Linked DNA regions of Canis lupus familiaris. The protein of the gene in region 3 purifies or fractionates together with the protein of the main gene of each other region. This does not show direct contact. Links are inferred from orthologs where the notes say so. Each region holds a gene or a part of one and is shown on either strand. Other genes may lie near its edges. The genes, in order: DLG5, WASL and SORBS3.

Region 1 (3,644 bases), on a different chromosome or scaffold from region 3:
GGCAGATTTAAGATCCCCTTAACCGGGAATCTGCCTGCCTCGCCTCTGCAGGTAAGGCTGAGTCCTCTGCCCCCAACAGCTTCTCCCACGAGAAACCCTGTGCTAATCTCCCAGCAAGTTAGGGCTATGAAAACACAGCACTTCATCTTGTTGAAGCTATTTCTGTCTTTCGTGGATGGAACTGGAAGGTATTACACTGAGTGAAATAAGTCAGTCGGAGAAGGACAATCATCTTATGGTTTCACTCCTATGGGGAATATAAGAAAGAGTGAAAGGGACCATAAGGAAAGGGGGGGAAACTGGGTGGGGAGACATCAGAGAGGGAGACAAACCAGGAGAGGCTTCTGACTCTGGGAAACAAAGAGTTGTGGAAGGGGAGGTAGTGGGGGGATGGGGTGACTGGGTGCCGGGCACCGAGGAGGGCATGTGATGGGATGAGCACCGGGTGTTATAGGACATGTTAGCAAATGGAATTTAAATAAAAAATAATAATTAAAAATAAAAGCTACTTGTGTCTTTGAATTCCTGTGAAGTCCCCTTGCCCCTCAACAGGAGACCCAGGGAAAAGGGGGCCCCTCCATGAGAGCACAGCCCTGCTGCTGACATGGCAGAGCATTCTCCCTCCCAATTCCCTCCTGTCACCAGGGCCCTGTGATCCACCCCGAGGGTCCTGGCAGCATTCAACACCAACAGGGGCACCAGGCAGGAGGCCGTGCTCTCTGCCTCCCGTGCCACCGGCTGCTCAGAACTCACCTCGAGGATGAGGTCCCCCACCACAAGGCCGTCAGGGCCCTTGGCAGGACTGTCATCCTCCACCTCAGCCACAAACACCCCGTGCAGGTTCCCTCCACATAAATGGACTCCAAGCTCCAGCTGGGACTTTTTGATGAAGACCACACGTGGCTCTGGAGTCTTCTTGTTGGCATCTCCCACCATCCTTCAGGAACGAAAATAAAGTCCCTCAATCACACACGGCGGCGAGCTGGGTGTCAAAGACTACAGAGTCCCTAACGCCCTGACAGTTTTCCTCTGAGGTCTCCTGGTGTCCCATCTGGGCTCTGGTTCTAGCGACTTAGTGTACGGGCTGGATGCTGAGGTTTGTCGAGGTGAAAACATGGCCCCAGCTGAGAGAGCCAGCGGGGGATCGAACAGAAATAAATGCCCCTGCTTTCTGGCCCAGCTGTCAGTCGAGTGCCATAGGCGGCCTCTCTTCCCAGCTGGACTGCACTTGTTCTCCTAACCCTGCTCTGCCTAAGAAAAGTTAGAGCTGGCCTCACAGTCCAGGGCACCACAGACCACTTGGCAAGGTTTGCAGAGCAGCTTCTCTGGCCCAGGGACTGTGCTTAAGCATGAAGAGGGGGCCGCGTGCCGTCAAGGAACTCACAAAGCAGCAAGGGAGACACCGGCAAGCACGCTGGGAAGAGGAAATAGGACGGTGACGGGGACTGATGAGGGGACCTCAGGGGACAGGCCAGCTGTGACTCCGGCGGGCAAGTCCCAATGTGACGGATCCAGGGCAAAGAGCACAGGGCTGGCTACATTCCCTGGCCAAGGAAACAGCTCTGTCCAGGATGACAGGATGGCTGCTGCGTGCCTGCCTCCTCCTGACCTCTCTCCACACCCACCGTATGCACAGCTGACCCCTGCTCACCCTGAACGCGTTGACTTAACTGTCACTGCTCCCTGCCACACTCTCGCTGACTGCTCCGTCGTGGCCTGTACTGGCCCTCCCAGCACGTGCTGCACACGCCTGGACACTTGCCTGTCACCCTCTAAACCTGGAGCTCCCTGGGGGCGACTGCTGATGGTGGCCACAGCCCAGGGCCTGGCTGGGTGGTGACTGTGGAATTCTGTCTAAAGACAGAGTGAGAAAACGAGTAACTGAGAAAAAGAGGAGAAAAGGAGAGAGGCAGAGCTAAGAACAAGTCAATGAGAAAAAAAAAGAGAGAGAGAGAAAAAACAAGAAAGTGAGAAAGGGCAGGAGGGTGAGAGGAAAAAAGGAATGGCATGCTTCCCACCCCAAATCCTGACACCTGCTATATGGCCTGCAGCCCAGGTGACGGCAGCAGGATGAGTTGGGGCCACAGCCATGGCCGCCCACCCTCCCACCCCCCTGGGCCAGGGCGCACAGATGGGAGGCTCACGGCACGGATTTGCTGACCTGGAACTGGGGGTGCTCTGCTTGGCCTGGGGGGTGCCAGGGCCCTCATCCTGCTCCATCAGCGGGTCAATGACAGAGGGATGCTCCGGGGTGGGGGCACTGCTGCCCTGGAGAGCGGCGTGAGTACTGGCAGGGTCCAGGTGGGAGCTGGGAATGGAGGTCAGGAGGAATAAGGAGTGGCTCACAGTCCTCGGCTGTCCATGGCCACCCCCTCGGGTGGTGACCAGGGCTGGGCTCTGAACAGGGACTGGGTCACATGGCTCCGAGCCCCGAGAAGAGCAGACGTCTTGGGAGCTTGGACTCAGGTCGCTGACCCTGCAGGATCGGCCTGTCCTCTCCCCCTCACCTGTCCTCAACTTGGGGATCCTCTCTGAATTCAGGTGTCGGCCTGGAGGCCCACACACTCACTGTCCCTCTTCCTCTGTTGTACATCTTGTCCTTTCGCTGAGCTGTGCAGCGCTGCATGGCGGGGCATGTCTCCCCCTTCTCTCACATGCCTGGCAACCCACAGCTCAGGGGCAGATACAGACAGCGTGTGAGGACACTCTGCGTGAGAATCCCACCCTCAGGGCCTCAGTTCCTGGCTCCACACACCTGTCGGGGGGCTTCTTGCTCTGCATGCTTCCACACCCCACACCTCAGGTATCCTACTTCGCATCTTCCTCCTCCTATATGTGTTTTTTCCAAAATGCAGGGCTGGCCACCTCTCCACTTAGGGCAGCTGAATGGCCAGAACTCACAGCTGGCACCCTGGCTGCACCATCTGTCCTCCCCCGGCCCAGATGGCCCCCCTGGGGAGGCCCAGGCCCTCACCTGGACCGAGAGTGGCTGCTGAGCTGGTGCATGTGTGGATTGTACTGGGCCAGGATGGTGATAGTGTCACACTGCTGCCCGATGATGAGCCGGGCCTGCTGCTCCGTGGCACTCCGCAGGTTTATGCCGTTGAACTAGGAAACATCCAGAGCACACTCAGTGATGTCACGGGAGCTGGGGACGGGGGGAGCACAGCATTCCCGAAGAAGGGAGGAGCAGGGGAGAGGTAGGAGAGAAGGATGCAGTGCGGAGGGGCAGTTCTCGCCTACCTCAAGTAATTGATCCCCGTACTCAAGGCCAGCTTGGTGAGCGATGCTCCCCCCTGTCACCTTGGAGACGTAGACCCCGCCTTTCTCTCCACTCACAATGGAGATGCCCAGTGGCTCCGAGCCCTTCTGCAGCTTGACATGGCGTGGCTCCTCCACATAGGGCCTTGGAAGAGAGCCAACAGTGTGGGGACTCGGACACAATGGAAAGGTTTGGGGCAAATCGGAGGTCAGACATGCAACCAGCTATGCAGAAAGGGGCGGGAACCGCCAGATGCTCCTCTAATGACACAGCTGGATGGGAATGTGATGACCCCCACCTCTGTATGGCAGTGATACATATTCCCAGAACCTCATGCAATACAAACACAACACCCCCCAATGACCACAGAAGCACCCAGCCC
Region 2 (4,167 bases), on a different chromosome or scaffold from region 3:
TGAACTCTTAGGGCTCTGAATATACTTCTGTCCTAACAAATTCCGGTCGACTTGTAAATGTTATTGCTGATGTTTTTAATGAGATAATGTATTTCACTATAATTTTAAACTACAAAAAGCGGCATAGTCAGCAAAGAAAAAAAGGATTTTTCAAAACAAAATAGTCTTTACTCTCAAGTAACTGGAGACTTCAAATATTAATCTTCACAACAATTTCATACCACAAGAGTGTATGAAATGCCAAATTCAAAAGGTAAAGGTGATTAATAATAGATGACATAAAGATACTGAGCACTGAATACTGATGGCTTATTCAGCAATCCACTTATGCTAACCAGAAAGCAAGGCTATCTTTCTCAATCACAGTATTCTCTCACATCTTTCATTTTTCTGAAACCAGTAAACATTACAGGTAAGCATAGAGCAATTAGTCAGTGTACTAGTGTTTGAATATAATGTCCTTCCTGCCTAAGCTTAATGTGTCTGGTATGTAAAACGTAAAACAACTATTTCCTTTCTGATACAGATCATATAGCAAATGAAACTAAAACAAAAAAATTTTAATTTTTTTTTCATTTGCAGATATTGTAACAGTTTAAAGAGCTGGAGATTTTCCTAAATCGAAAATATACAAAAATTAGTGCTGCTTTAAGAATCTCACACACTAATTATACCAAGTTTTGGTGGGGAAAAAAAAAAAAAAAAAGAACTGATTATTCCTTTTGCACCATTTTTTGAAATAAATCAATAACAAGTAAGAAAAAAAACCCTTCTAAAACAACATGATGTAGTGGAAACTACAGCAGACTAGGCATCCAAAGTCCTGGCTTTCTAGTTCTGGTTACCTACTAAACTGCTGTGTGACTTGGGGTTCACTGGCTCAGTTTTCTCATTTGTTCAAAAGCGAGGGAGGGAGGGGACACGGACACACACGACAGTTGTCTTTAAAACTGTTGCCCAAAATTTTGATTTTAAGCCAGTCCTCTTATTTCATTCTTCTAATCAGTAAAATACCAGGCCCGTCTGAATTGAAGGTAATGATTCAATCTCCAAGAGGATACAAAAAGGCTGACTCCTATAAAGTTAACAATTAACCCATAGAGTAACTTTCCAGAAATTGTCTATCCTAACTTCTTAAACAGATAGATGTAGCCTCGTTTGACATATTTAACACTACCAACAGAAGCTGTAAAATGGTACTGCTCTGTTGACATTTCAGTAGGGGTTTCCTGGTTTCCAGTGGCACATACTATGCAGGTGCTAAGACGCAAAGAGGGGAGACAGGGACCCAAACAGCATTTCAGCAAACTCGACTACAGTTCAACGGAGCCACAGCAGTAAGATGCAGCCAGACGAGGCCTACACCACAGAGCAGAACCTCCCCACCCCCAGAAGTGCCAGCAGCCAATGTAATGAATGCTTCCGTCAACAACACACATTCCCCTTCCCACAGCAGAACTGCTTGCTCCCAACCGGCCATCTGGGGTTGGAACAGGCCGCACAGCACCAACCTAAGAATCACTCTCAGGCCCCAAAAGGCCACGAACTACTAGAGACTGTGGTTCTCCTGCGCATGGTCGTGGGGAGAGCAGCACCTCCTCCCACCAATGAAGGGTTAAAAAAAAAAAAAAAAAAAAATCAGTGGAGAGGAGAGCAGAAACCAGGCCTGGTGAGGCTGCTGGAGGAAAAAAAAAAAAAAAAAAAAACGCTGTTTCTCTGCAATGGGGGGCAGCAACATTCCCTGCCCTCATTCTGAACCGATGCAATCGACTTCATTTTCTCCTGGGAGCCTAAACGGGGATCAAAAACCCCCATTCTGGCCCGCTTCATTCATATCCGGGCTTCATTCCCCGATCTACCCACTTCTGAAACCTCTGCCATTGTGAAAGAAGGTAGCCTCCTCCCCACCCCCAGATCAAGCGGCAGGAGGTGAAACAAGGGCCAGTACGGACGCCCGGTTTTTAAGATCCAGCAGCTCGTGCAGGAATAAAATCTCCTCTTGGCCTGAGAGCAAAGTTTGAGCCAGCAGCAAGGGCGCAGACCTGGGCCCGGCCAGGAGGGGTTCCAGGGCGGGCCTGCGGAGGTGACACTTCCCTGCTCACGGTCAGCTTCGGGAGGCGGGGGGCGGCGGCGGCGGCGGCGCCGGCCCGCACCGCCCGCACCCGCCGCGCCGGGCTGGCTGGAGGCCTGGCGGCGGCCGGACCCTCCCCGCGCCGCTCCCGCCTTCGTCCCCGCTCCCGCTTCCCGGCCCTCGTGCCCGGGCCCGTGAGGTATCGTCGGGGATGGCGACGCGGGTCTCGGCCACTGACCACACATTTCTTGCCGAGGAAGGTGAAGAGGGACTCATTCTCCTGCGGGGTGAGCAGCAAGGACCCCACGTTGGTGACCCTCCGCGGCGGCGGCGGCTGCTGCTGGCCCGAGCTCATGGTTTCGCCGGCGGGGCTGAGCGTCCGGGGCCGTCTCCGGCGAGCAGGCGAGCGCTCTCTCCCCTCTCGGTGACAGGGGTGGGAGGAGGGGAATCAGAGGCGCAGCATCTCGCAGCTCCTCGGGCGCGGGGAGGAGGAGGAGGAGGAGGCCGCGGGAAGGAGGAGCCAACGACGGGCCGCGCAAAGAAAGGGAAGCTCCCGGCTCCCGCCCGGCGAGTCCCAGGCCGGATGGTCGTTGACCTCGTACTCCAGCGACTGCGCTAAACTCCCAACTCCTCCTCCAACCCTCCTGCGGCGGCGGCGGCGGCGGCAGCGGCGGTGGTGGCGGCAGCACAATCCAACATGGCTGCGGGGGCGGACGAGACCACAGGACGCAGGACGCGGGGGAGCGCGCCGGAAACGCGCGGCTGCGGGCCGGGCCCGGGAGAAGCGCCCCCCCCCCCCACGCCGCGGCCGGCCCACCGCGCCGGCCCAGGCCCCGCCCACTTCCGGCCGGGGCGCGGGCTGCGAGGCGCGGGCGCGGGCGCGTGGGCGGGGGCGGGGATCGCGCGTGCGGGCCCCTGCTCCCGTGCTGGTTTCTGCGGGGCTTGGGCCGGGCGGCCGCCGTCTGCCAAAAACAGAAGTGGCCCGCGCGAGTTCTGCGGACGCACACCTTGGCGAAGCGTTTGTGCGGCCCCAGGTCCCCCTTCCCCGGAATGGCTCTTATTTGGGGGGCGCAGAAGCCGGACGTTCTTACTGCAGGTCAAAAGGATCTGGAGACGAAGACGGGAAAGTGACGCGCTCCCCTGTGCTCCTGGGTCGGAGCTGCAGGTGCCGGGGGTTTCTCAAACTTTGTGCAAACTTCAGCAGTGGGTGTAGAGGAACACACAGGCCTCTCTCCCGGAGTTGTGAAAGAGCTTGCTGATGGATGTTAACAAAAACCAAACGCACTTAGAATTTTCTACCGCTCGCCTGGAGTGTTGCGTGGGATGAGTGTATTGAGAACATTTAAATTCAGGCTCTTTTCTCTGAAGTGCCCTGAACACGTTTTTCCCCATCTTGAAAATTGGAAAATATTCTCCCCCCCCCCACCTTCTCATCTTTCTATTCCTATTTAATAAAGGTGTAGTATAGAGATAACTAAACCTACTTCTAAGTAGTAAAATTTACCCGGAAAGCATACGTGAAATACCTGATGGACGGTGGTTACTCAAACATTACTTGCTCTATAGTCCTTATCTTCCCTTTGCCTATGGTTTGCTTCCCTTCCCTTAGCTAAGGATCAAAAGTGGAGTTGAAATGTGTATTTTTTATCTTTGTGCTATCTAAGCATGAAATTTCAAAAAACTGTAGCATTTAGAACTCTCTGTATTTCTTCAAATGTATAGTGGTAAATTGGGGGCATAATTTCTTAGCAGAATTTCTACTTAGGCTATATAGGATGCCGCATGGACGATATATGTACTATTATGTGAAAATTACAAAACTTAAAAACTATAAATCTAGAGACAATCATTTGTTCCTAATACTATCTTTATAATATTAAATACTATTTTATCATATTATGTTTTTTCTTTCTTTCTTTCTTTCTTTCTTTCTTTCTTTCTTTCTTTCTTTCTTTCTTTCTTTCTTTTCTTATGATTTTATTTATTTGTTCATAACAGACACAGAGAGAGAGAGGCAGAGACACAGGCAGAGGGAGAAGCAGGCTCCATGCAGGGAGCCCGACGTGGGACTCGATCCCGGGTCTCCAGGATCACAC
Region 3 (4,164 bases):
AGCGACTGTTCTCTCTCCTTTTATAGATGAGCAAACAAGCATCATGTGCACATGGGGTGTCTTTGAGAAGAGCTGAGCTGGACCTCTTTTAGTTCTCAGAAAAGAAAGAAAGAGCAAGTAGCTGTCAGCCCCTTTAGAAAGTAGATTTTATGAGGGAAGGATAAATAAGTGATGACCTCAGAGGGAAAACCCAGCCAAGTTAATTCAGCCACAAAGACGGGCACACAGAGCAGGGGCTGGAAAACTAGGTCTGCATCAACCTTCTTCCCTAGCACAGGTAAACAGATAAGATAAGAGGGCTGATTTGTCGATCAGAGCACGACTTCACGGTGTCTACTGGCCTCCAAACAAAGAATAACCTTGTCTTCCCCTCCTTGAGTTCTATGATGAAACTTCTCCTAAACTGTATCAACATTAAAAAGATTGTCTAATTTGCCATTAAGTTACTAATCTACTGGGTCAAAATTAATTCTTTCTAAAACCTGCATGTCACAATAGAAAACCCAGGAAGACCATATAATTACATACAGCAGGCAAGAAGGTAGAGATTGAATCTACACGTAATGGGAGGTAAATATGAGTTTGCACTTTAGTTCTTAATTTCCAGGATTTTAAATAACTTTTTTCACAGTTCTGGAAATAAGGGCAAACATTGCCTCATTTTACTGATGGTTTAGCTGAGGTATAAGGACATTGCCAAGTCAGGACACTATTTGGATAACAAAGATCCCAAAATGCATACCCAGCTTATTTGAAATTAGGAAGCTGGGCTTGTATTCTGGCCTGTAAATTGCTCTGTGGCCCTTGCTGGGGCTATACTTGCAGTGAAATTACCTTACTCAGGCCTGGCAAGGCCTGGATTTAAGAGGCCTGATGTCTGGCCTCTTCTGCCAGAACTGATAAAATCCTCTGATATATTTGTCCTAAGGACCCTGGGTGCTTTCTCTCCTCTCAATCCTCTACTTATTTTACCTTGTGAATCCACAGCACCTCATGCTATTTTTACTTTGGGGAGGAATCAAAAGGCTGGTCTTATACTTCCTTTTCTTGTCAGTCCAGCCCCATAGTCCATGCCTCTCTGGCTCCTGTGACTTTTCCCAAGATAGAACTCATGCCTATTATTAGGATCATCTGCAATTATTAAGTTACTATAATAAAAATTATTTTTATCTTTTGTAAGATAGATAAAAACTAAAGAAGAAAGACATTCCATTCTTTCTTCCTTTCCTACAAGTAGTGGCCTCTGCCAGAAAAGCCACAGGAGGAGCTGGGACTGGAGCATGAGTTAGTGGTAGGCAGAGTGCCGGGGGAAGAGGGTGGGGCAAGGCAGTAGATTCTGAGTGGGAGAGGCAACACTGCAGTCACCAGAGCCTATTTAAAACTCAAGAAAGGGCTGAAGAGGTAAGGGAAAGAAGAGGTCTTTTTTATTGTGAGGAGATTCCTTTATCAGAGACCAGACATCAAACACCAGACTTTCCTTTGATTTATGGAATTATTAAACGGGTAAGAGCCAAATATAAGTGCCTCTACCAGGAAATAAAGGAAATAAAGACACAGGAAGCCAATAAGGTTATCATTTAATTTTAACAGTGTTTTTTTTTTTAAGATGACTTCCAATTTACAATAAGAAAGTTTTAACAAATTAATTTCTTGATCACAAAAAAGACTTGTTAATTTCTGCCAGTAAATAACATTTCCACCATTTTCTTTCACATAACCAAAAGCAAGATAAAGCAAATAATCTCTCAGCATAGGCAAATGATCCATCATTCAGAAAGGCCTTTTAAAAAATGACATTACCAGCTAATTTATGTCTGACCACCTCATTTAGGAAGCAAAACTGGGATGCTTTCTTGGAAAATGCCTGCTAACATTTCCATTGGGAAAAATACTATTGGTCACAGTGCGCTGAGAAAGGAAAAGTAAGGCATTCATGATGACATCTTCAAAAAGGTTCTCTGACACAAAAAACCTATCTTTATTGCCGCAAATCAAAATCTATGGTAGGCTTCCTCCCTATTACATGCACTTTCAGTTTAACATGCAAAAAAAACCCCCACAAAATGTTATTTGGAAACAGCTATGTTAAGGAAGTGAACGGGATCGGGGCAAGAACTTACAGGAAGGCCGTGTGCATGGCCCTACTTTAGAGTTGCTCAGAGGGATGGTCCACATTCATTGTCCTTGCTTCTTGATCTTAAGCCACCTTGACTTGTCATGAGGGTGTAGAAGAGGGGAAGATGCATAACCCTGTCCCAGACAAAGGTGTTATTTAGCAAGTCTTGCCAAGGTTGCTGGGGCGTGAGGCCAAGGCCTCCCGGGAGGGAATATCCTCGCCAGTATCATCTTTACCTTTGTGACTGCATAGATGAAGGCAGCTAAGCCTGGCCCCATTCACTTTGGCTGGCTAGACATAGGCAGGGCAGGTGATGAGTCTCAGAGTAACACAGGTTCCCTCTTTCACACTCTGGCAACGGCACAAAGCTCTACTGTTAACACAGTTCTCTGCACAACTCAAGAGTAACAGCCCTGTTTTTCGACTACACAACTTTCTTCCTCTATACACATCTGCTCTTTCTTCTGACTTTCCTATGAGTGTTTGATCACACTACTGCTGAAGAGGAATTGTAGCAACATAGTGCTTTGGAACTACCCTCCAGGTCATTCAGACCCTCCTCTGGCTCTTGATGAGGTCTCCCAGGCTGCCCTCTACTCCCTCTTATAGAGGCTTTGGGAAAGATGTGGACCAGGTGCCAAACAAGATGGTATCCATCACTATAACCACAAATGATTTAGGAAATTGGAACCTCATTCCCAAACTGGGGCTGTGGGTTTACCTTTCCTCTGAAATTGTTTCTGCCTAGGTATAAAAAGCTGAATAATGTCTGAAAAACACTTAGGTTCCACTGTTACTATAACAACTACAATAAATATTGGGGATTCTAGAGTGATGTCTTAACAAGTCTTTATGGGTTCAGAAATAATTTTCAATATAAAAACTGGAGAAAAAACCTGATAATTAATATGAAGAAAAAGTTTATAAATTAGTCAATCTGGGGCAAGTTCTTCCTAAACCATTTTAACTTAGTTAATTCTAAAGAGCTTGAATTTTATATTTATAGATAAAATAGTCAAAAATTCTGGCAATCAGCTACACTATATACATAAAACAGGAGGGTGGAGGGAAGCGATTTTAGCCTTATTCCTTCTGAGAGGCTGGACAGACTCTTTAGTAATGACCATGTAAGCCCAGCTATATATCATGTAAGCATGGTTTATATTATTTTTCTTATGAAGAGCAGCTGCCTCAAACTTTGTATTTTAAAATTACTGAGAAGAGGATATATGGGACAATGACAAAGCCGAAAGGCCCCAAAGTTATCCGATTTTAAGAAATCCCACCCTTGCTCCTTAATGACATTGAATAATAATATTCTGTTGGCAAAACAAATAAAAGGATTTTTCTTTTCCTATTTTGAACAGTGTCAGGAAGTCATACCTAAGTTATTAGGATAAGTTATTAGGATGTCTGTCTGCTATTGACAAGAACTTGCTTCACTGAATTGCAACTGTTTGTGTAGGAACAGAAAAGACAATGTAAATATAGATAGAAGTATAGGAGAAATACTGATATTCCCAGAGAGTCTGATTCTTCTACCCCTGCACAAGGAGCCAGATCAAGCCCATCGGAGGGCGATTCACAATTTTCACTTTGCAGTTTGCAGGTCAGTATCCAGTCACAAAAGGCCAGTGAAACAGCAATGTCTGTCCTTATTAACCAAGTGTTTGCCTTGAGGTTTTAAAAGAAAACTGAGGCTGCTTTTGTTTTAGCATGCCATTAAACACACACGCACACACACCCTTGGCTTATTGGGTTGTTTTAGCTCTAAATATTCAGAACACAGAGATTTAAAAAGGATGTATATTTTAAGCTTGTGTTAGATGAGTTTTTACATTTTTATTAAAAAAAAAAGTCATCTGATCAGTTTGAAATTTCCTATGATGCAGATGTAAAAAAAAGTCAGAAAAACTGGTCCTTGGGAAGCATCAGTTTTTAAATGATATTTCAGTAAAATATACAAAAACTTACTATATTTCAGTAAAATAGACATGTCCTCCAACATGTCTAGGGAACGGATGTAAGAAGTGGGTTTTTTCCCTCCT

What was found.
Region 1: the proteins of SORBS3 (region 3) and DLG5 purify together in Homo sapiens (co-immunoprecipitation; 3 studies listed by BioGRID and IntAct, with this or other methods). This does not show direct contact. The link is inferred for Canis lupus familiaris from reciprocal best matches to the Homo sapiens genes SORBS3 and DLG5.
Region 2: the proteins of SORBS3 (region 3) and WASL purify together in Homo sapiens (co-immunoprecipitation; 3 studies listed by BioGRID and IntAct, with this or other methods). This does not show direct contact. The link is inferred for Canis lupus familiaris from reciprocal best matches to the Homo sapiens genes SORBS3 and WASL.

Annotation. Positions count from the first base shown.
Region 1 is NC_049225.1:28,429,622-28,433,265, forward strand, and holds part of DLG5 (disks large homolog 5), read right to left. Parts: intron 3,407-3,644; coding exon 3,244-3,406; intron 3,109-3,243; coding exon 2,975-3,108; intron 2,309-2,974; coding exon 2,162-2,308; intron 938-2,161; coding exon 754-937; intron 1-753. UniProt on the Homo sapiens protein: Acts as a regulator of the Hippo signaling pathway.
Region 2 is NC_049235.1:11,772,723-11,776,889, reverse strand, and holds the start of WASL (neural Wiskott-Aldrich syndrome protein), read right to left. Parts: upstream 2,812-4,167; 5' UTR 2,427-2,811; coding exon 2,310-2,426; intron 1-2,309. UniProt on the Homo sapiens protein: Regulates actin polymerization by stimulating the actin-nucleating activity of the Arp2/3 complex. Involved in various processes, such as mitosis and cytokinesis, via its role in the regulation of actin polymerization.
Region 3 is NC_049246.1:34,892,648-34,896,811, forward strand, and holds the start of SORBS3 (vinexin), read right to left. Parts: upstream 2,908-4,164; 5' UTR 2,838-2,907; exon of another isoform or gene 2,468-2,837; 5' UTR 2,353-2,467; exon of another isoform or gene 2,251-2,352; 5' UTR 2,121-2,250; intron 1-2,120. UniProt on the Homo sapiens protein: Vinexin alpha isoform promotes up-regulation of actin stress fiber formation. Vinexin beta isoform plays a role in cell spreading and enhances the activation of JNK/SAPK in response to EGF stimulation by using its third SH3 domain.